5 linked regions of the Mus musculus genome follow. The main gene of each other region encodes a partner of the protein of the gene in region 3 in a complex. Links are inferred from orthologs where the notes say so. Each region holds a gene or a part of one and is shown on either strand. Other genes may lie near its edges. The genes, in order: Dlg1, Lin7a, Cask, Lin7b and Lin7c. A codon is read from its position in the direction of its gene.

Region 1 (4,110 bases), on a different chromosome or scaffold from region 3:
AGGAATACTAGAATAAGGTAATTAGACAGCATCATCTCTGAGATCATGTTTCAGGTCTAAAATTCATATTCCACAAATGGCAACTCTAACAGAGGGTGTGTGTGTGTGTGTGTGTGTGTGTGTGTGTGTGTCAGAGAGGCAAATGCTCTCAAGCACAGCAGCAGAGCCTTTCAAATATTTCCAAGGATTCCAGAGAAACACACGCCAACTACAAAAACACCAACAGTAGTTCAGTTGTCACGACTGGTGTCCTAAAACATTTCTACAACTTGTCCATATTCCAGCTGTTAACTCTAAGACATGAAACTGTGCTCTCAAAGTGCACAGAAATCACCAGACCAGAAGTTTTTCTGATAATTAAACATTTTTAGAAGTGACAGTGGCCTAACTGCAAAATAAAAAATCACTAGAGATGTCCTAAGTTAAGGACCATCTAGAGAGCCAAACACATTGTCTTTCAAATTCTAAGTTTAACATAACAGAGAAGCATCAGGCACTAGTACAGTGGTCAAGAGTAGAAAAGTTTTAACTCCCACCTATTAAAGCCTGAAAGAGGTTGCTCTGAAATATGTTAATAACCCGCTCTATGGAACTTCTGAGTTGTCTGTCTTCAGTTTGGCTTAGTTTCGATCGATATTCTTCCAACAGATGCAATGCTCTCTGGGTATCTGAAAAGACAAATACGGTGAAAATTTCATGTATATATTAAGGCTCTGTGTGTATCTGCATACATATTTACATGAGAGTGCTACACGCTACCTCTACAAGACATCTATAAGTTCCCCTGAGCCTCCAAGGCAAGGGCTGCCATCACTATATCCATATTCCATTCCCTACTAAGACAAATATTTTAAAGGCTTTATATCACAGCAGAGAAAGGAGAAAGTGAGTAGCCTGTGTTAGCTGTGGACTGACAGCTTCCAAGACTAAAAGACCGTCTAACTAAACTGATAGCAACTTGGTTTTTAGAATGCCTAACAGACAAGAACAAGTTATCTACAATTTGTTCCTATAACCAAAACGTGTTTCAAAACATTAATTCCTAGTTGCTCACAGAGTTGCTCACAAAATAGTGTTGATATGAGTGATAAAGTGAAATACTGAAGCAATGAAGTTTTGAAAAAGACATGGTAGGGGGCAGATTGCTTCTGTTGATTGCTTCTGTAATGACTACAGATGTCAAGAAGGTGTGTGCAACCAACTAGATGTTTCCACCTTCTGAAATGATGGGAAGCTCTGATACCATAAGGAATAAAAGCGAGAGCCTGCTGATTCCTCAAAGTCACACAAACCTTTTAAAAACAGTAACCACAACACTGATGTATGTTACAGCAAGTGACAGCCACAAAACAGTTCCAAAATAAATTCTCACCTTGCTTCCGGACCGGCATTTTTCTCCAGAATCAGGAAGGCGGCACACACCTTTACAAACACAAAACAGGAAGGAAAACTTGAACTAATGCAATGAACTGAATCGTGGATCCATTCGTTGCCCCCGCCCCACCCCACTTCACCCCACCCTACCCGACCCCATCCCCCGCCCCAAACTCTCGACTAGGGAAAAACTCCAACCTTGGTGGAACTGCCCACCTTCCAAAGTTTTCCCAAGTGGAAAAAAAGCAGAAGCCTCAAACCCCCAGCAGTGTCAGCCAAAGCGGAAAGCGAGTTCTCGGGGGTCGCTATGCCCCCTACAGATTAAGATCAGACCCAAGCCCGCTTCGGTAGGTGCCTCCAGAGCTCCCCCCTCCGCAAAGAGCACCTGAAGAGGAGAAGCCCGGCCGCCGCGGCCGCCGCCGCCGCCAAGGCGTGCTTGCCACGCTCCCCACCTGCTGCCGCGGGCCGGCCCGTGCCCAGCCGCGCAGCGCCCAGCCGAGCGCCCGGCTGCTCCCCCGGCCCGCTCGGGCCCCCTCCTCTCGCTTGCCTGGTTCCTCGTTCGTCTCCTCCCGGCGGCGACTCCAGCAGGGGCCGGACCGGACAGCCGCCGCTCTCCGCGCCGCTCATGCACCCCCCTCCGCGGCCTCCACACCTGCGGCTCCGCCGCAAAGTTCCCGCGAGCGGCGTACGCGGGCGCCCCGGGTGCGCTCCGGCCGGACTCGGAGCAGCTTCCCCGCCCGGCCCCGCTCCACGTACCCCGCCCCGCCCCGAGCTCAGCTGAGGGGGTGAGGGGACGGGGGAGGAGCTCCCCCTTCGGCGGCCGCACCCCCGCGCCGCTCTCTCCGCCTCGGCCGCCGCCGCTCGCCCGCTCGCCGCGGCCCGCGGCCCCTGCTCGTCCGCTCGCCTCCGGGCCGCCCCACCCCCGGAACCTCGCCTCCTTCCGCGCCCCCAGTCGCTCTCCCCCTAAACTTTCCGCCAAGATGGCGGCCCTGGAGCTGGCCTGCCGCGCGCCCACGTGACTGCTTTCCCCGACGCTCTCAGCCAATGAGAAGTGAGGAGGCGGCTCGCTCCGAGCCCCGGGCTCCGGGCGCTGCTACCGGGGTTGGAGAAGGGAGGAGGGCCGGGAGGAGGGCGGGGAGGGGGCTGGAGTACTGGAAGGAGGACCCTTAAGCATCCACAGGGAAGCGCCTTGCGGAGAGGAGCTCCGGTGGAAGCGGCTCTGGGGACAAAGGAGTTGACACGCGCTCTACAGGTGGCCCGAAGTGGCTTTGGGACAGCAAGCCTGCACGTTGCCCTAGCCCACCTCCGGTGGCCTGCGGTTCTGAACTAGCGCGCCGGACTCGAGTTGCTGGAGACTTTGAAAGAGAGAAGTGACCTCACCTGCGCTAGATCCCAAGAAACAAGCTCAAGACACCCCTCACCTCACTGAACACGTGCTGGCCAACTTCAAGAAAGGAAGAGTGCCTGGCACGCCCGGGGTGGATCCCCAACAGGGAAAAAGGAATTTGTGCGGAGCTGCGCACCAGTCACCCGCGTTAAGGGGCGGAGGAAGAAGGGACTTAGGAGGGGAAGGGGTATTGTATGTCTTCCACTTTTTGCTGGTTTTTAAATTATTCGTTTGTCCAGAAAAACAAAAAAAAAAAAAAAAAAAAAGGTTTGAGGAGTTTCATTAAGGACCGGATGTAAAGCGGAGACGGATTAGTTTGCTAAACGTTTGAGGGTTTCAGAGGATTTTTAGGTCTAAGTGGTTAACTCCTAGTACGAGCCGTTTAAACAAGTGAAAAGTTCAGTCGTTAATATTTCATTCATTCATGCCTGCATTCATTTGTGCGTTCATGAATGTGTCCCCGCCCAGAGATGCTCCCAGGAGTTACCCATCTTATGGCGGTCCCTTTAAGAAACTCACCTGTCTACCCCAGCGGTGGTGGCACAGGACTTTAATCCCAGAAAGGCTAAGTAAGGCTAATCTTTGTGAGTTCGAGGCCATCCAGAACAGTGAGTTCCAGAACAGCTAGGACTACACAGAGAAGAAACCCTGTCTCAGGTGGAAAACAAAGAAAGCAAGCCTCTCGCTGCCAGCCCTCACACCTAGTTTAAATTTCAAGCACCTCACAGCCCAACAAACAGTCCCAAGGGACACTTGCTCTAGAACTGAGCCTGAAGGGGAAAGTTCTCCAAGTCACTGACTCGAGCTGCTTTTGAGCAGCAGGAACTTCTCTGCTCCATAGCCCAGGAGAATTTTTCCAAAGTCGTCAGAAGTTCTTGAAGCAGAACCAGAAATGCAGAGATCCATGTGTGTCAAACCGTAAGGCTGGATCTGCTTGGATCCAGCTTGAAGATGATTCGCTTGGTTAAGGTTCTTGCCTATGAGCCTGATAACCTGAATTCCATCCCTGGGTCCCACATGGTGGAAGGAGAGAGCCTCCTGTTTGTCCTTTAACCTCCATGCACAGACACATTTAAAATCAATCTACCGGTACTTGTGTTTTAATTAAAGGGGGAGAAAGATGAGGGGTTTTTTGGTTTTTCAATAAACCTGACAGGCCTTTTCTGTGTCCTTGACAATGGAAAAGTCAGAGAAGAACCTTGCACGATAGCCATAACCCAAGTATGCTGATGACTGGGTTTCACTTTTGGCTTGTACCTTAGAATCCTAACTTGTGAGAACCTTAGGACTTTAGAGCTCAGGTAGATCTACCTCCTTTCAGAAAGTGAAAGAAAAACGTTCCCCGTGAT
Region 2 (4,155 bases), on a different chromosome or scaffold from region 3:
CCTCCTTAGGCCCGAGATGCCACATTCCCTTTAATCCCAGCACTCAGGAGGCAAAGGCAGGCAGATCTCTGAGTTCAAGGCCAGCCTGGTCTACAAAGCAAGTCCCAGGACAGCAAGGACTACATAAAGAAACCCAGTCTTGCTAAACAGGTGTGGCTGGTAGAGATCCACCAAGTGAATCTGGGAACGGTTCATAGCCACCGCCTTACGTGCTCCTTTCTAGCATCCTTGCTAGCTCTGCAGGGCCATAACCTCATAACTGTACCCCAGTTCCGTATGAAATCTGTATAACAAACAGTTCTCCATTTACTCCAGCTTCAGTTCACTATCACTAGTCTACATTGACTTTATACTCCATCACAAGTCAGGGATGATGAGAAATTCAAAGATGGGTTAAGAAATGGCTTCGTCCCTCAAGGAGCTTTACACATTGGGGGAGACTAAAGGAAAGAAGGATTGTAAATTATAAAGGCTTTGATGGAGCCAAAAGCTTTTGAGTGAGCAAATTTAGAGTGTATAACATGGGCCACCAACGTATCAAATGGCACTCTGGAAACTTGGAGTGACCCAAAATCGCCAGTAGGTGGCCAAACGCTGAGCCCTAAGTTGGGTTAACCGAATTACAGGCTGCTAACACTGCACATCTTCACAATTATCAGACCTTCATGTCCTAATGCCCAACCAAACCAGGACAAAGCTTAGAATCACATATTCCATCAACCTAATAAAATTACTTAACTTGGTGTACTATCATAGTGAATTAGAGGGAAGATAACTTCACGGACTTCTTACACACAGAGCACTTAAAGCCAGTGGTTCAATAATTCAGATGTTCCCATAGATAACCTGACTGGGCTTCCTTTGTTACTTACTCTACAGATCTAATCACAGAAGGACAGGTACCCTCTGAATATAAACAAGAACACACTTTAAATCTTGGTCTTCTCTAGATAGCTGACTGGGGTGTCCAAGGGCTAAGATAAACTTCCCCAAAGTGGACTAGTTGCATTGCTAATAGTAGTGGTGGGATGTAAATTTGCTTGAGTATGTTGTCTTCTTGGAGTGTTTGCATCTAACATAGTTAGAACTTGGGTTGTTTAATATAGTTAAACTTGGGGTGTTTAATGACTGTAATTCAGTAATGGGACAATAGAAGAGCTCATCACATTAAAACAGAAATAACTTGGGAAACCCATCGTTTTTAATAGCCTGCCATCTGTTTGGCTCTTACCAGCAATGGATTTATCCTGCTTAGTACAGATGATATTGGGACTAAAATCATAGATTATACGACGGACTTCTGAGCTCTTTACTCTTATTAATCTGTAAACGAACATTTCCCAACATAAAAATCAATTATTTTTCAACTCTTACCCTAAGTAAGGTTGCTATGGGCACCGCATAATATCCGTTCTGGCACCAACAGATTGAGTTAAAGTCACCAGAGATCTCTCCACATTAAGAACCTCAAATACAGTTTACCAGCTTTGCCACTGTGCTCGCTGTACGATGCTCTTTTTGCTTTGCTGGGCCGCTAGTTTAATCCTCCAGAAAGAGAAATTTTAGAGGGACAAGGACTAAATCATTTTCTTCTGAGCACAGCATTTTCAAATGACTGCACCGGGTCCTAAGCCCCGCCGCTGCGGACCCAGAGCTAGAGGTGCCCTCTCTCTGCAGAGCTGGGGACTCTGGAGCCCTAATAACTAACTGGACCTGGTGAGGCAGAAAGGAAACTCCCATCCACCGCCAGGTACTACTCGGGTGCACTCAGCAGGGCCCGATCCTAGAGAAAGGTTTGGAAAGGTTTGGAAAGGTTTGAGCAAAAGCTCTTTCCGTTTCAGCCAAAGAGTAGGACGCACAGGTCACAGGCTAGAAGTTAAACAGTTACCCAGCCTGCGCTTTGTCTCCGCGCCTTCTGCAGCCCAGGCACTGAGGTACACTTGACTGGTGAAGAACAAGGTTTGCTGGAGCAGGAGACAGGAGTTGCTACCTCCCTGGAACTGCAGGCTGAGGGAGTACCAAGACCAGAGCCGCAGCTCCGAGCGGGAAGCTGGAGCCAAGCCGGCTCGGCTCCGGATGCGGTGTCCCTGAGCCAGCGAAGGTTGCCCGAGCTCTGCTCTGCCCTTTCGCCCGAGGGCAGCGCCCTAGCCAGGCAGTCCCGCGGCTTTGCACCCAGCTTCCCAGCCAAGCGCCCTGCCGCCCTGGGGCGATCTCCCAGTCACAACAGCTGCACAGACCCCTCATCTCCAGCGCGGGGACAAACTTCCTCCCTTCGGGTCCCCGCGCCGGCAGTTGGCAGCTAGCTTCCCCACTGGTCCCTTAGCAAGCTCTGGCTGGGAGAGCTTTCTCTGCCCCTCTTCAACCTCCAGTCACCAGCGCTCAGCGGTCCCGGCGCATCCTCTCCAACAAAGCCGGGGCCCGGAGGCGACCCGGCGAGGGACCGAGACTGTCAGCTGAAACATTCGAGCCCTGGCAAGCACCTACGCCCCGGAGAGCGCAGCAAGAAGGGGCAGCGGGGACCAGGAGAGGAGAGAGGGGAAGAAAGTGTCCTGCTCCGGGCGCGAAACCCTCCTGGGCTGATCCTCCTCCCCCAGCTGCCCCTGCCCGAGCGCATCCTGCCTTCCCTGTGGGACTGGGCAGGGCGGAGGGCGAAGCGGTGCGGACTGTGTGGCCTGACGGACCAGCCGCTCCCTTACCTCTGTCCAGAGTAAGCGGCTGGACCACTGTCAATGTCGCCATGTCTGCCGTGGGAGCCGAAGTGACGCTCGGCTTCAGCATCAGCAACCGCTTGTAGTGAGAAAAAGAGGAGGAGATTGGGGGCGGGGGTGGAGAGGGAAGACGGAAAGGAGGGGGAGGAGGGGGAGGCAGGAAGGTGGTGATGGAGGAGAAGAAAGCTCGGGTGGGTTGGTAGCCAGATGGAGACTCAACTGTTCCGCCGCGGCGAATCTTCAGTGCGGCGCCAAGCAGGGCAGGTAGCCGCGAGCGCCTGCCTGGCCAAGGAGCTGAGAAAGGAACGCTCAGCCCTAGAACTTTGCTCGCCCACCCGTCAGTAGCTCTGGGTGGCTGTAGCAGGTTTGCTGTCTTTCAACTTTCCACCTAAGCATAATGGTCAGAATGCACTCGAACCCAGAAGAAGAGGACTCAGAAACGGGAGAGAGACAGACAGGGGTAGAGAGGTGGGGGGACAGAATTCTTTTCAGATTAAGAAAAAATTTCAACCTCCCTTTCCACATCCCTTTCCAGAGGAAACGCCACTAGCCGTGGGAGATGTTGCTATATCATTGTAGTTGCTGTTAATTTCTGTTGAAGCTTTTTGTTTAGAACGTCCACTCTCAACAGCACAAGGTAACCGACTGAGGGCCAGGCAGGGTTCTGTTAAGTCAGTGTTCGTTTAGGACCTGGGTACATTGCCTAGGAAAATGACTTGCCTTTACAAGCAAACTTCCTTAAAAGGTTCTGAAATAAAAAACGAGTTGCTGTCAGTGAACAGTATTTATCAGGGACCCTCTCCTGTTAATCTGGAAGAAACTTGTATTCAGAGGTGCTATTTATTAATTAGCATGCATGACAAGAGTTGAGCCACGGATGTTTGGTGCCATTTGCTACATCTTAACCTGGGGATTCACTTTTGTTTTCTTTCTCTGCATCCTCCGAATTACAGGTAGATAATGTGAAAGGCCTTATTTCTGAGTCAGTAGATCACAGTTCAGTTCCTGGAGCCTTCAAATACTGACTATGAGCCTTAATCCCAACTTTCACTAAATGTTCACCAAGCCTCATTTCCTTATCAAACCATGAAGAAACATGGAGAAAGATCCTCTGGGCTTTACCGAGATTGGTGGACACAGAGCTGAGATGGCGATGCTGCCCTCCCTGTGACAGCTAAATCATCCTTGTGACCCAGAGACCCTCAGAGGTAGACCCACTGGGTTGCAGAGTATTTGCGTATGACCAAATGCTACGTTCTTCTAATGAGACTAAGAGGTGAGAAAGCTCAGAAATTCAGCAGGAATTGAAAAGTCAAAGATGACTGACCATCTAACTATGCAACAGATCATTGGATACATGCTGAACGTAGTCTTTCAATGTAGTCATCTTCTAAGAGTTTTAAGTTTAAGAACTTTAACCATGAAATTCAACTTTTCACAGCTCCCA
Region 3 (4,298 bases):
GATTTGCAAGAAAGAAATGAAAAGGAAAGAAGGTTTAGCTCCCAAATATTTAGCAAGCAAATCAGCCAGGCTCTCGAGGGAGTGATTAAGGGTTTGTACAGATCGTTTTGTTTTTTGTTTTGTTTTGTTTTGTTTAAAGGAAATGGGCTTTATCTTCACCCTGCCCCCTGCACTTTGGTAAATACTAGTTTAAAAAATACCGCGCTGAGAATTTTAACAGATGATTTCTGGAGAGCTGACTTATGAACTAATTGGACACTTCTGCTATGAGGAGGAACAAAGACTTCTTTTTTTATTGGTCTTCAACTAAGGCATATACCTGTCTGGTGGCGTTGGCTCATTCTGCACATGCTCAGTTGAACAGAAATCTTCATATTGCATACAACCTAGCACAGCGGCAACACCCACAGCCTTACTCCGCGGCTGACCCTGTGCGTCCATTCCTTCTAGTGACATTTTTTTATGCTAAGAACTCCAACACTTATAGGGAGTGAACAAAGCAGATGCTGGTGCTGAGGAACAATATTCAATGGATTTAAAGTCTCTTTACGACACTCTTTTCCTGGTCCGTCTCTAGGTTTTGTCTAGCAGCAATAGAAACTGCATAGATATTGGTTAGTTTGGAGCGGGTGGCAGGCGAAGCTGTTTCGCTAGTTCACTGTTCTTGTTGTACACCTTCCTCTGCAGTTTTTGTTCCGTCCTTTCCTTGGACAATTCTCCCCCTCCCCCAGCCCTCATCTTCATTAAGGAATGGCAAGGTGGCACTAAAAGCATCCACCGCCGCCAAACACGGTCTTGAGTGACAATCTTTCTCCACCTCCTTTCAGGCTTTTTCATTCATTAGAACCTTTTCTCTGCGTTTCCCCCCTCCCCCAGCAAAAACCTGGGGAACGGCTTTCTGAGATTACGAAAGAAGAGGGAAAGCTGCCAGAGTGCTGAGCACGCCGTCTAAGAACGTGCAGACTGCTATGGACCTTTTGTCCCTCGCCCCTCTTCTCCACTTGGTCGCAGCTTGGGAGTAGAGGCGACGACCTCCACCAGCCCCACCTCAGCAGCTGCAACCCGCAACCCGGGCAGCTCCGCTAGCCGACCCCCAGCGCCCTCTAGATTCCCCGCGCCCGCCGGTTCTTCGTGACGTTGCGGGCGCTGCGCGCAGGCGCCACTGGGAGCGCTTTTTTTTTTTCCCCCTCCCTTCCTCCGCCTCCTTCCGCGGTCCACGCCTCCCAACGGGCTGGAGGGGCGGGGCCTGCGGGTCTCGCTGCCGTGCGGGCCGAAAGGGAGGAGGGTTAGTCCGCGCCAGGCGGGTGCTCGGGCTCGGGAGCCTGGCGGCTGCTGAGGCTGAGGGGAGGAGCTGAAGGCAGCGGTCGCGGCTCCCGCCCGCACTGAACGCTCATCCCGCGAAGCCCCCTCCCACACTCGGGAGGGCGGCGGCGGCGGGAGGAGGAGGAGAAGGAGGAGGGAGCGTCTCTGCCGCCGCCTCCTGGTCCCCAGCGCGGATCAGCCGCCACCACCTCCCTTCGCGACGATCCTCCCTCCATGGTGCTGCCGCGGCCCCCCCTGTAGCCCGAGCTGCCCCGCGCCGCGCCGGAGCCGGTCTCGGGCAGAGGGAGCGGTCGCGGCCTCGCGGCCCGCGCGGGCTGACGAGCGGAGAGTGCGGCGCTTCGCGGTCCCCGAGGGTCCGCACGCCCCGGCAGCGCGGTCGCCAGCCACCGCGCGAGGAGCAGCGGGCGGGCGGGCGGCGCCGGGCCCGGGCCGCCCTCGCTCCCACGCCCCGGCCCCGCCGCCCGCGCCGGGGCGGCAGCCGGCAGAGGAAAGGCGCTGCAGTCTCCGGGCCTCACGGCCCCAGTCGAGCTTCCTCAGCACCGAGGGCTTGCGGGTCCTGAGTGGAGGACACGAGCCCGGAGCCGGGCACTGAGCTCTTGGGCGCCCCCAACCCAGTTTTCAGAACCCTCCACGCTGCGGCCGCTGTCCCCTTCGGACCATGGCCGACGACGACGTGCTGTTCGAGGATGTGTACGAGCTATGCGAGGTGATCGGCAAGTGAGTCTCCACGCGAGGGAGCGGGAGTGTGGAAAAATGCTTTTCAGCGATGCCCGGGGCCTCCCGCACCCGTTCCGGGCCTGCCCCCTGCCCTCTCTCCCTCCCCTCTGCCTCCCTCGTTCTCTTCACCCTGGAGAATTTTTAGACGTGTACCTGGGTTTCCTGCCAGGAATGGGTCTGGGGGCTTCTTAGTAATGCGTGGAGGCCACCGAGCCCCGGTCGGCCACCCCATAAGGCGTGGGGCGGGCTCCCTGCATTTTATCTGACGGTTACACAGGGACGTGGCAGGACCGATTTTGTAGTTGCTTCCTGGGAACAGTTGGGGTTTTTGTTACCTTTCCTGTACCATAGACCTTTCACGAAAAGAGCAGCCTGCATTTCATGAGCTTGTGTGGAGAGAGCGAGAGAGCGCGTCCGGGGTTTTTAATTGTGGGGTGTGTGTCTATTGTGCCAGGATATTAGACAGATGCCTTTGTGTTCACCCCATGCCCGGATTTAAGAGGGTCATTGAAGACGGATGCGTCCAGTTTCAGCAAATTCTTCACCTGCCATAGACAAACATAGAAAGAGTTGGGGGCACCCAAATTTTTAATGCCTCGTTATGCAATGACTGTACAATCAGTGCTCGAGGCTCCCTTCCACTGTTGTTGGGATGGTGGTTAGCGTGGTAGAGCCGTCTGCTTTGAGTCACCGGGCTGGTCTAGAATATAGAACTGACAGTCCAAATGCTCATCCTTTCATCTGTGTTGTATAATTACACTAGGGAAAAGCAGGGAATCAGATTAATCACAGTCCTGATTGAGAATTAAATCTGCAGTTCCTCATCTAATTGTCCAGTCCTGAAATCTGTTTTGAATTGTTTCCTTTTCATTCTTGTCAAACAGTATTCCAAGTGCACAATCCTGCTAATTTGCTTGTGAGGGAAATGCTGGCAATCTGAAGTTGATTTCCTAGTTCAGCGTGTATTCTCTGGCTTTGGAAGTTGAGATCAGATTTAAGAGCGATTTTTGCTTATTTAATAGGGCTCGTTAGATGGCTAGTATTAGAATATTTTACTTCGTTTTGGAAGCGGTGCTTTATTGTCTATTTTAAGGTCCGCAGTTGGGAAATGAAACCAAGACAGCATTTGGCTCTAGCTCTTTTAAGTTGTCTGCACTATACTCAGTTTCAATTTTTTGAGTACGGGTAACTGATTTTTTTTCCTCCATGTTGAGATATTACAATACGGCTCACATGGTGAAATTGTGGGTAGAGCTTGCTACACTCTTTTCTTAGACCCAAATGCTCCTTGCCCCATTGTTCAGTGACCAGCCTATCTGTTAAGAGGAGGATGTCCAAATGTGTCTGGTACAGTCTTTGTGGATGTGCTCAGAGCAGCGCTGTTCAAAAGCTATTTAATGAGAGCCACGTGTAATTTGTCATTTTCTAGTAGGCACTTTAGAAAGATTTCAAACAAAAAGGTGCAATTTTCGTAAAATATTTATGTAATACATTATATATAATTAGTGATTTCAGCATGAAAAAATTTTGCCATACTGTATATCTTTTCCTACTAAACCATTGAAATGCAATGTATATTTTACACTAACAGAACATCTCAATTTTGACGCTAAGCTAATTTTTTACCAGAAGTATTTGATCTGTATTTAGGTTTCATAAAATTTGCATGTGCAAAAAAAAAAATAGATTCACATATTCAAGTTGTTCCAAACGTACATAAAAGTTTTCCACTAACTGAATTTACTATTTCTAAATTTTAATCAAGTAAGCAGAATGCAAAATGCCTCAGTTCAATTAGTCATATTTCAAGTGCTTAATATCCACAGCCTACTGCCACAATTTTAGAGAGAAAAAAATTCAAAAATCTCCTTCATTTCTTCATTGTTGTGAGGACACAAAAAAGAGAAATTCGATGTTTCTCAAAAACCACACAAATGGCTATGAGAGTGAGGGATACTTGTTGTATCTTAGTTGTAGCTGTTGTGAGCCTGAAGTTGATAATTAGAAAATGTGGGATTAAGCTGCTTGCAGATATTGTGGTGATGGAAATAGCTATCATTGAATCAATTTTGGTGATTGGTTCTGATTTCTTCAGGTCTGAAAGGATGACAGTGTAGATTTCAAACGTGGTCAGCTTCATGTTAGTAGTCTGTGTTGTGCTGACTTAAAATTGAGAAAATATTTTCAGAAGACACCCCTAGTAGAATTAAGTTTATCCATTCTGTTCTGCAGCTGCAGAAGGAGGAAGAGCAAGCGAA
Region 4 (3,942 bases), on a different chromosome or scaffold from region 3:
AGAGCTGCGCGAGCGTTGTCTATCATGGTACACAGACTGGAATGAGCTTGTTCTTAACCTCAGCTTCACTGTCCTCCTCCCCCACAGAGACTATTCCAGGATGCGCGACAGACACACAAGACACTCGGTGAGGGTTAAAGATCTTTAAATAAGGAGCCAGTGACAATAAATAATACTGTACAGGGGAGGAGAAGGAGGGTCCTGGTCTGTGATTTCAGCCTCGAGACTCCAAGGACCTGTGAGGGTGTAGAGAGGGGAGTTTTAGACACAGGGTAGGTTCAGGGGTGGGGTGGGGGAGGGCGCGTAAGATGTTCAATGGTGGGGTTCTGGAGACAACAGTTCAGAAAATCAGGCACAGGGCTTCTGGAGTTGGGGAGCCAGAGGGTCCCAGGGCCTTAGCTACCATGGCAGGAGTCAAAGGTCAGAAAACCCCTGGTGGAGAGCCAGAGATAAATGTTGAAGGCCGCTGTGCTCACTGGCCTGATTTGGGTATCTAAGGTTGGGGAAGGCAGCAGGGAGAGGATGGTGACTGGAGGCTCACGTGTAGCTGTGGTGCTGCTGGCGCCGACGGGCAGATCGCATCTTCTCGAAGCGGGCTTCCATCTCCTCCAGCACCCGAGGAGTGTAGCGCACCACCAGTTTCACTGAGCCCTGTGCAGCCTTCAGGAGTTCCACCGCCTTTTCATGGTGTTCGCCTTCCACACTCTGCAGGGCAGGCCTCGCACAGACTGCTGGCCCAAACCGCTGCCCTTACCACCCTACCCAGGACATGGGACCAGTGGATAGTGACACGGCTGCTGGGGTCAAGTCTCCAAGGCCTCATATCCCTCTAGTGGATCACCAACTTTAGGCACAGCACCCACAACCTAAAAACTGCATGTCAAGATAGCTTTGAGTCCCAGTGTCCTCAATGAACCAGGCCACTGAACCTGTCCCAAAAAAGTCTGTCTACACCCCCTAAGCTTATTGATCTCCTGCCCTCACTGCCCAGGGCCAGAAGCCGGGCTTTTCTGGAGAGACGACCTCCTCGGTGGTGTTTCCTTGGATTCTAATCACTGGGGTTTCAGGATGCTGACTGGCCCAGACATCAGGCAGAGCCAGCCTTTCTCCTCATCTCAGGGACCATCTCTGTTCCGAGCCAGAACCACCCCTCCACATCTTAGTTCAGAGAAGTACCCAACCTTCAACCTCCAAGCCAAATATTCCTCCTGAAAACAACTGCCATCTTCTACACTGGGCTGCTATCCTAGCTAGGCTCTCTGAAGTCCTTGAGGGTCAGCAGTGTACCCCACAGTGCTGTCTCCAAAGGCTGTGTTCCCTGTGTAGAGGGAATGTGACCGTCCAGGGCTGCCTTACGGACACTACCAACCCCACTCACCACACCATTCACAGACAGCAGCTGGTCTCCCCTCTTGAGGCCACCATGGCGATCAGCCACGCCCCCAGGGATGACTCGAGAGATATAGATGGGTGAGTTCTGCTCCTTGCCACCCATGATGTTGAAGCCCAAACCCTCATCAGTCTTCGGTAGTTCCACGACCCTGGGATGTGCGTGGCCCTCACTGGCCGTGAAAGCAGCCACTGTGGCCTGGAAGAGAGAAGACGCCTCAATGAGAGAGACCCTCTTTGAGACATGGGCACTCCAGCCAGCGTAGCCGCAAAGATCAAGTAGGGGAACCCTGACACAGCTCAACAGGAGGCTACCCTATACTGACTCCGACCTGTGAGAACCCTTGCTTTCTTCCGAAAGTCAGGGAGAAGGGCATCCTTAGTACTTAACACCTGCCAATCTTGTTCTCAGACAAATGGAAACAAGTGCCCCCCCCACCTCGGGGGTGGGGTGGGGTGATAGGGATCAGGTGTAAATCTTGAGTCTGCAGGCAGTAATAAGTAATAAGCACTGCAGTTTGGAAAGGTGTCCCTGTTCACAACATCCAACAGGATTGCCTTTTAGGGTCATCTTACCGACAGGAAAGTGAGGCCAGTTTCCAAGCCTGTTGCTAGAGAGAATCTCATGTGCATTCAAGTTAAAAATGTGCAGTTATTTAAAGGGCATTATAAATAAATCTTCATAGGGTGGCACAGAGATGCGCTGATGTGAAGGAGGGCACTGCTTTCGTGGTCACCCAGAGCTACCGGAGCAGGAGCTTACCTTAGCTGTGGCATGAGCCCGCACCTCGGCGCTGCCAGTGATGTCCAGCGTGTCATAGAGCTGTTCATACACCTGGGAAGTCGGGGACACGGCAACGTCAGAGAGCTGCCAGTCCACAGCCCTGGACACCGGTGTCCTCGTCCGCTCGCCCGTCGCCGACCCCGCCGCAGAGTGCAAGGAAACTACAACTTATACAGAACCAAGATGCTCACCTCGCGGATGGCGGAGCAGAAGCGACTCTGCAGGACCCGCTGCAGGGCCTGCAGCTTCTGCGGGGGCAGCTCTCCGCTGCGCTGCAGCCGCTCCAGCAGCTCCACAGCCCGGGACACGTCTGCAGAAAGCGGCAGGGACCGCGAGAGCATACGCCGGCAGCAAGAAGGGCAATCGAGGTCAGACTGGAAGCGATCCACGTGCCTCGCGGGTCGCGGGGACCCCAACCCTGGGCGAGGTGTTGGTGGGGCGCTCCGCCCCAGACCCTCCCACGCCCTCAGACTGCAGGCCGCGCCCCGCCCACCCTAACTAGGTCCGCCCCCCAACCCCCGCATCTGCAAAGCCTGTCGCAACCCAACGGAGCCCAGAGCCCGGACTGGACCCTCGGAGCGCTTACCCCGCTCCAGCCCCAGCGGCTCCACCAGTGCAGCCATATCGCCTCTAATGCAAGCCACCCGCCCAGGCGCCAGCGAGGAGGTGCAATGCGAGGCCCCGCCCACCAGGTGCTGGCAAGGAGGTGGTGCATGAGGCCCTGCCCACACGGCAACCAACAGTTTCAGAGGGCCTGCCCTCACACTGACAGGAGGCGGTGCTGCGCAGGGTCCCGCCCACTCCGGAACTCTAGAGACCTTCCCCCTCTGGGTGTCTCGCTCCTACATCACTATCTGCTGCCCATCATAGGTCTATCCTAGCCGCGATCTTGTTACTCCGTTGGTGTGTCTGCCTTGCTCTTTACAGTATGTCTGTGCTTTTCTGGTAACTTCCCCTCATTTCTACAGAGGGGCGTGGGTTCTCAGGACTCCAGGGGCCTATAGAAGAGGATCGCTGTGACTTGGAAGACAGAAACACCTAACAAGAGCCTATTTCAAGAAAGCAGAAAAATAAAAGCTGAAGGGGTAACTCAGTCGAAGAGTGCTAACCTTGCAGGCTGAGATTCTAGGTCCTGCACCCTGCAGAGCATAAATCATACCTGTAATCCCAGCATTCAGAAGTGGAGGCAGGGTGATCGGAACAGTGCCCAAGGTCACCCTCAGTTACACTGAAGTCTTGTGGCTAGCCAAGTCTACGTAAGACTGACAAAACATACACACAGAGCCCGGTGGTCCACGTCTTTAATCTCAGCACTTCCAAGGTCAGTGATTTCCATAGTGAGACCCTGTCTAGACTAACCTAGACTCACACACTGAAAGAGAGGGGGGGGAGGGGAGGGGAGGGGAGAGAGGAGGAGAGGAGAGAGAAACTTGAATAAGACCTTTATAGTTTAGAGATGCTTGGAAGATAAAGTCAACAAGTTGTATGACCTGGGTCACCCCAGCAGCCACCCAGAGAGTAGCCAAGAGGCTAGGCAGTGGTGACGGCAAAACAGTGGTCTTGTGTTATAATTTGCATTTGGATCTGTGTCTCCATATAAACCCCTGAGAGTGTACAAGATGGTCAAATACCTATCTGAAGATCTCCAGGGAGACTGGATTTCAGAAGGGGCAGAAGGGCAGATAAGGCCCTGGAGACTGGTCCACTAACGTGGAGTGCTGCCTGTTTGGGTGAGAGGTGGAGTGGGGAGCACTGAGGTGGACAGGTTC
Region 5 (4,182 bases), on a different chromosome or scaffold from region 3:
AGAAAACAAGGAGGGAATTCTAGTTTGAGAATTATTCAATTTTCTGTAACAGTTTTATAGCTTGCAGAGTCCTTCCAGCTGTGTTAAGGAAAGAAAGTGCATCCTGTTTCAATTTCTAGTCCTTAGAAGGTGACCTTTTATTCTCTGGAAACTTTTATGGTCTTCTGCGTAAGCCTGGAATTCTGGGATTTTTTGTGTGTTTATCATCAAAGACATGGAAAAAGACTACTCCAAAGGAGCAGAAGATAGAGATAAAGCTCAGATTTGTGTAGCTTGTACAAGTCTGCAGATTCGAGTCTCTGGAAAAGTAAGTAATGTGTAACCCCAGCTCATAAGAATAGCTCCTGTCAGCCAAGAAAACCTGTGTCATTTGTATGGAGCATGAGGAAGCTTGAAGGCTACTGCCCAGTGGTGGGATTCAACTACCTAATAACAACATGTAGAAAACTGCAGTTCAACGGAAAGAATGGGTCACCTGCAACCAGCTATTAAAACAATCCTGTCGTGCAGGTGTTACAAACTTAACACTGGACTATGATCTTTGCTACCCAAATCCAAGTTTCACAAAAATTATTTCATTGAAATTAGTGACTAAAAATATTTGGGTCCACCAAGTCTTCAAGAGTGGCCCTATGAGGATCTGGAGATGACAGACAGTGCTGTTAGGAGTACTGGCTCCTTTTCCAGGGGTCCTGGGGTTAGATTCCCAACACCCACAGGGCAGGTCTCAACCATCTGTAACTCCAGTTCCAGGGGAATAGATGCCCTCTTGTGGCCTCAGGTTTGTAAATGGTGCAGATATACATAAGGGCAAAACACCCATTAATATAAAAATTCTTACAAATTACAAAATGTACCCATAAAACAAAATCTATGCTTCATCCTTCATTCACAAGCAGATTTTGAATCGGCTAACTAAAAACAATACTTCGTGTATACCAAAGCGTTCTCTCCCGGTTGTTTTTTTTCCCACCTTTCTGCTCAAAGAGAGTTTTAGATAAAATTCGAATTGTAAATTTTTTAAATTAGATCAAGCTAGGATATTAAGAATTTATAAGAGGACTCGGACATGGGGAAACCAGCCTAGACGGTCAGAGGCTGCCGTCGGTCGGGTAAGGGCCGGAACTAAGGTCCTGACTTCCCCGAGGCAGGGGACACTCGGGACATCGGTTCTTTTCAACCTCAGGTTGTTGGAAGTGGACGAGCACAGACCCACGAAAGGAGGCCACCCGTCGGTCGCAAAGCGTCCCCGGCTACCGCTCTGCGTAGTTACCCGCATCCTTCTAGCTCTCGCGTTACTACCATCCTCGCCCTTCCGCTTTCTCGGCCTGGTCCACCGCGGCCCCTCTGTCGTCACTTCCTGTGGGTCTGCACCTCCGAAGAGAAGATGGCGGCGCTGGGCGAACCTGTCCGGCTGGAAAGGGGTGAGTGCGGCGGGGGTCGCGGCCGCGGTGGGTGGGGCGGGTCGAGACTACGAACCGCTCTGCCTGCGGGCCGGAGCGGAGGCAAGGTGACCCGGACGCTGAGCCCCGGAAGCCCTCGGCGGCCTCGGCGCCGGGCGCTGCTCGCGGGGGGCGCTGGCTGGCGTTTGAAAGCTCGCCAGAGCCGGCCGTTGAGGCTGGCGGCGGGCACAGCACGGCTCAGCGGCCTGCCCACGGCTGTAGGCACGGGCGCTCCCTGGGTCCGCACCGCAGCATCGGCTTTCAGCTTCATAGACCCTAAAAGCCGAGGCCACCACGCAGCCCGGCACTGTCTACGGTCAGTGTGCGCGAACAGATCAGTGTGGCCTCTTGGCCTGGTTCTGCCACTTGGCCGACACAGACACATTCCCGCAGAAACTCCCTCGCCCCCATTTAAAACTCAGACTCCTTCAGTACTGTGACCACAGCCTCCGGGCTTTGAGTTGCTCTTTCCTAACTTTCGCACCCCTCCAGCCACGGAGAGGATGCTTACAAAAACAAAAACAAAAAACAAACAAAAAAAAAACCCTCCAACTGACTTGATCTTGGGAAGGAGATTACATAACTAGGTGGAGTAGTGATTTGATTGTAAGTCACTTTTAAGTGCCATGCAATTCCATACTCATAAACCCTACACTTGGAAACCTGGTTGGTTGATTGCTTCTTAGAGCAAACAGCCAAGAAAAACCAACCCGATTGAAGAGAAGCCTGTGAAAAGACTCTCCCAGGGTCCAGTTGCAGCTTTCCAGTATTGTACTCTGTTCTGCCCCAACTTAAATTTCAGACAACTGGAACAAGCTTTGTACAATTCGGTAGTCATAGTAACCAGAAAGTACCAGTTAAGCATTTCGAGTGCTGTTGGCAAACATCGCCTGGGATGGAGTTTGACATTGCATATATTTAGTATTCACAATTATAATCTCAATATCGTCCAAGAAGGAAATCATTTTATAAAATTTGTGTATGTAATAGAACCTCTTTCCTCACACACTGTGCTGATTATGATTCGTTTTGCTTTTTATTGTAGTGACCATGGGAGCCTTTTGTTTCTTTTTAAATAAATGAACTTGTTTGTGACAGGGTAGCTTGGGAAAGAATAAGGTAGGCTTACAGCTGTGTCATTTTCCCCTCAAGTACTACGGTGTCAATGTGCTTTGAACACATTGTTACACAGGAACAAATCTGTTGGTGTTAACCAGAAGAGTTGCAAGTTTCAAACAAGATGGCGTTCTTTTGTATCTTTAAATGAAGCACAAAATGTGGACCTTTTCCCTCTGACATCTGCTTTTTGCTGTTAGGAAGTTTTTCAGTTAAACAGTAGAAAGCTCAAAATATTGGTAGGAATGAAGTCCTAGTTGGTTTTTGCCAGTTAGCAGGATAAGCAAGGCAGTTGGTGTCAAGTCCGATTCTGATCAAGAATTCTAACAGACCTAGCATATTCTCAAAAGTTCCACAGTACAATTCCACAGCAAAATACCAGTACATATGACCAAGTTCCTGTTTGCTTCAAAATCATCAAAGCACAATTCACTGGTGCACAAACTTAATGAGCATATATTTGGTATAGAGTGTTTAACTCATTTCTAAGTGTCTCCCTTCTCTCTACCCTCTCCTATCTCCTCTTTTCCTTCTTCCCACCATGTTGTATTGAGTTGAGAGCCTTGTACATATTAGGTGAGCACTCTGCCACTGAGCCGTTTTCCCAGCTGTATATGTAGGATTTTAATGTGGATAATGTATTGTGACTGTAAATCAACAACTGCTGAAACAACATTTACTAGCCATTCTGGTGGTGGGACATCAGAGCAAAGCTGGTCTGTTTGATTAACTGATTAATAGCAGTTTAAACTTTTATTATCTAAAACTGAATCAACTTTTTGCTTCTCTACTAAGTTTATTTGGACTTTTTCATAAACAAATGCAAAGTCCTAACTAATTCTGTGAAGTAAATGCCTGGTATTTTGTTGTTGTTGTTGTTGTTGTAGTTGTTGTTGTTGCGGGATTAAAGGTGTGCGCCACCACGCCCGGCTAAATGTCCGGTTTTTAACGTGGCATGAAATCAAAACTTTCCTCTAGTTAAGTCAAAGTATGCAAGGATCAGAATATATAGGATAGTATATAGACTTATATAGACTCTAAGGTATCCTAACCTTTGGAGCCAAATGAGCACAATTCAAACTTACTTAATTAAATTTAATTAGAATTTACTGCTACTTAATTAGCAATAAGAATATACTGAGGCTGGGGTTCAGAAAAACCTTAGGAAAAAACTCAGAACAGAGATTGTGATTAATAGTGTTATAACATGAAGTTGAGTTTTCTAAAGTTCTTTGTTCACATTTTTTACATTCCCAATGACAGTTATCTAATATGCTAAATGTGTCTGTGTGTGTGTGTGTGTTTGTAGCTCTTTCATATTTTTTTCTTTTTAAGTTGTATATGTTGGGAGACTTTGGAGAGGGGCGTGGCAGAAGAGGGTGTCAGGTCCGTGGAGGTTTAGGTAATTGTGAGATGACCAAGTGGGTGCTAGGATTCAGGAAGTGCTGAACTATGTCTTTGGCCCCTAATACTTTAATATTTCTCTGTATAGCCCTGGCTGTCCTGGAACTCACTCTGTAGACCAGGCTGGCCTCAAACTCTGAAATCCGCCTGCTTCTGCCTCTCAAGTGCTGGGATTAAAGGTGTGCGTCACCACTGGCCGGCTTAATATTTCTTAAAATTA

What was found.
Region 1: the proteins of Cask (region 3) and Dlg1 are in contact, whole or in part, in an NMR structure (PDB 1RSO), measured with the Rattus norvegicus proteins. The link is inferred for Mus musculus from reciprocal best matches to the Homo sapiens genes CASK and DLG1. Residues at the interface, in XP_038955489.1 of Rattus norvegicus: Gly339, Ala342, Ala343, Arg345, Ala346, Val347, Gln349, Val350, Ser353, Leu354, Glu356, Ile357, Leu360, Thr361, Asp367, Leu368, Phe370, Leu371, Ser373, Val374, Phe375, Asp377, His379, Leu380, Thr382, Leu383, Leu384, Asp385, Leu386, Tyr387; in NP_036920.2 of Rattus norvegicus: Arg4, Asp7, Thr8, Arg10, Ala11, Leu12, Leu14, Leu15, Tyr18, Lys21, Leu22, Glu26, Asp27, Leu30, Ser33, Ile34, Arg36, Val37, Ser39, Ile40, Phe41, Ser43, Leu45, Phe46, Leu49, Ile50, Gln53, Glu57, Val58, Leu60.
Region 2: Cask (region 3) and Lin7a share a complex: the UniProt entries of both Homo sapiens proteins name them as parts of the brain-specific heterotrimeric complex. The link is inferred for Mus musculus from reciprocal best matches to the Homo sapiens genes CASK and LIN7A.
Region 4: the proteins of Cask (region 3) and Lin7b are in contact, whole or in part, in an NMR structure (PDB 1Y74), measured with the Mus musculus proteins. Residues at the interface, in NP_001271432.1 of Mus musculus: Ala405, Arg408, Ala409, Glu411, Val412, Glu415, Ile416, Tyr419, Glu421, Asn422, Asp424, Ala425, Glu427, Leu428, Ile431, Leu432, Gln434, Phe437, Ala439, Leu440, Leu441, Thr443, His444, Val447, Ala448; in NP_035828.1 of Mus musculus: Leu10 (codon at 2,769), Asp13 (codon at 2,760), Val14 (codon at 2,481), Arg16 (codon at 2,475), Ala17 (codon at 2,472), Leu20 (codon at 2,463), Leu21 (codon at 2,460), Arg23 (codon at 2,454), Leu24 (codon at 2,451), Ser27 (codon at 2,442), Glu29 (codon at 2,436), Leu30 (codon at 2,433), Pro31 (codon at 2,430), Pro32 (codon at 2,427), Lys34 (codon at 2,421), Leu35 (codon at 2,418), Ala37 (codon at 2,412), Leu38 (codon at 2,409), Val41 (codon at 2,400), Leu42 (codon at 2,397), Ser44 (codon at 2,391), Phe46 (codon at 2,385), Cys47 (codon at 2,382), Ile50 (codon at 2,373), Arg51 (codon at 2,370), Tyr54 (codon at 2,221).
Region 5: Cask (region 3) and Lin7c share a complex: the UniProt entries of both Homo sapiens proteins name them as parts of the brain-specific heterotrimeric complex. The link is inferred for Mus musculus from reciprocal best matches to the Homo sapiens genes CASK and LIN7C.

The regions. Positions count from the first base shown.
Region 1 is NC_000082.6:31,662,133-31,666,242, reverse strand, and holds the start of Dlg1 (disks large homolog 1), read right to left. Parts: upstream 2,801-4,110; 5' UTR 2,755-2,800; intron 2,309-2,754; exon of another isoform or gene 1,922-2,308; intron 1,423-1,921; 5' UTR 1,392-1,422; coding exon 1,373-1,391; intron 669-1,372; coding exon 537-668; intron 1-536. UniProt on the Homo sapiens protein: Essential multidomain scaffolding protein required for normal development. Recruits channels, receptors and signaling molecules to discrete plasma membrane domains in polarized cells.
Region 2 is NC_000076.6:107,270,484-107,274,638, reverse strand, and holds the start of Lin7a (protein lin-7 homolog A), read right to left. Parts: upstream 2,809-4,155; 5' UTR 2,779-2,808; coding exon 2,697-2,778; intron 2,246-2,696; exon of another isoform or gene 1,375-2,245; intron 1-1,374. UniProt on the Homo sapiens protein: Plays a role in establishing and maintaining the asymmetric distribution of channels and receptors at the plasma membrane of polarized cells.
Region 3 is NC_000086.7:13,843,750-13,848,047, reverse strand, and holds the start of Cask (peripheral plasma membrane protein CASK), read left to right. Parts: upstream 1-1,491; 5' UTR 1,492-1,981; coding exon 1,982-2,040; intron 2,041-4,298. UniProt on the Homo sapiens protein: Multidomain scaffolding Mg(2+)-independent protein kinase that catalyzes the phosphotransfer from ATP to proteins such as NRXN1, and plays a role in synaptic transmembrane protein anchoring and ion channel trafficking.
Region 4 is NC_000073.6:45,367,763-45,371,704, forward strand, and holds Lin7b (protein lin-7 homolog B), read right to left. Parts: upstream 2,803-3,942; 5' UTR 2,797-2,802; coding exon 2,760-2,796; intron 2,484-2,759; coding exon 2,365-2,483; intron 2,225-2,364; coding exon 2,153-2,224; intron 1,589-2,152; coding exon 1,379-1,588; intron 706-1,378; coding exon 542-705; intron 237-541; coding exon 215-236; 3' UTR 129-214; downstream 1-128. UniProt on the Homo sapiens protein: Plays a role in establishing and maintaining the asymmetric distribution of channels and receptors at the plasma membrane of polarized cells.
Region 5 is NC_000068.7:109,889,498-109,893,679, forward strand, and holds the start of Lin7c (protein lin-7 homolog C), read left to right. Parts: upstream 1-1,380; 5' UTR 1,381-1,387; coding exon 1,388-1,424; intron 1,425-4,182. UniProt on the Homo sapiens protein: Plays a role in establishing and maintaining the asymmetric distribution of channels and receptors at the plasma membrane of polarized cells.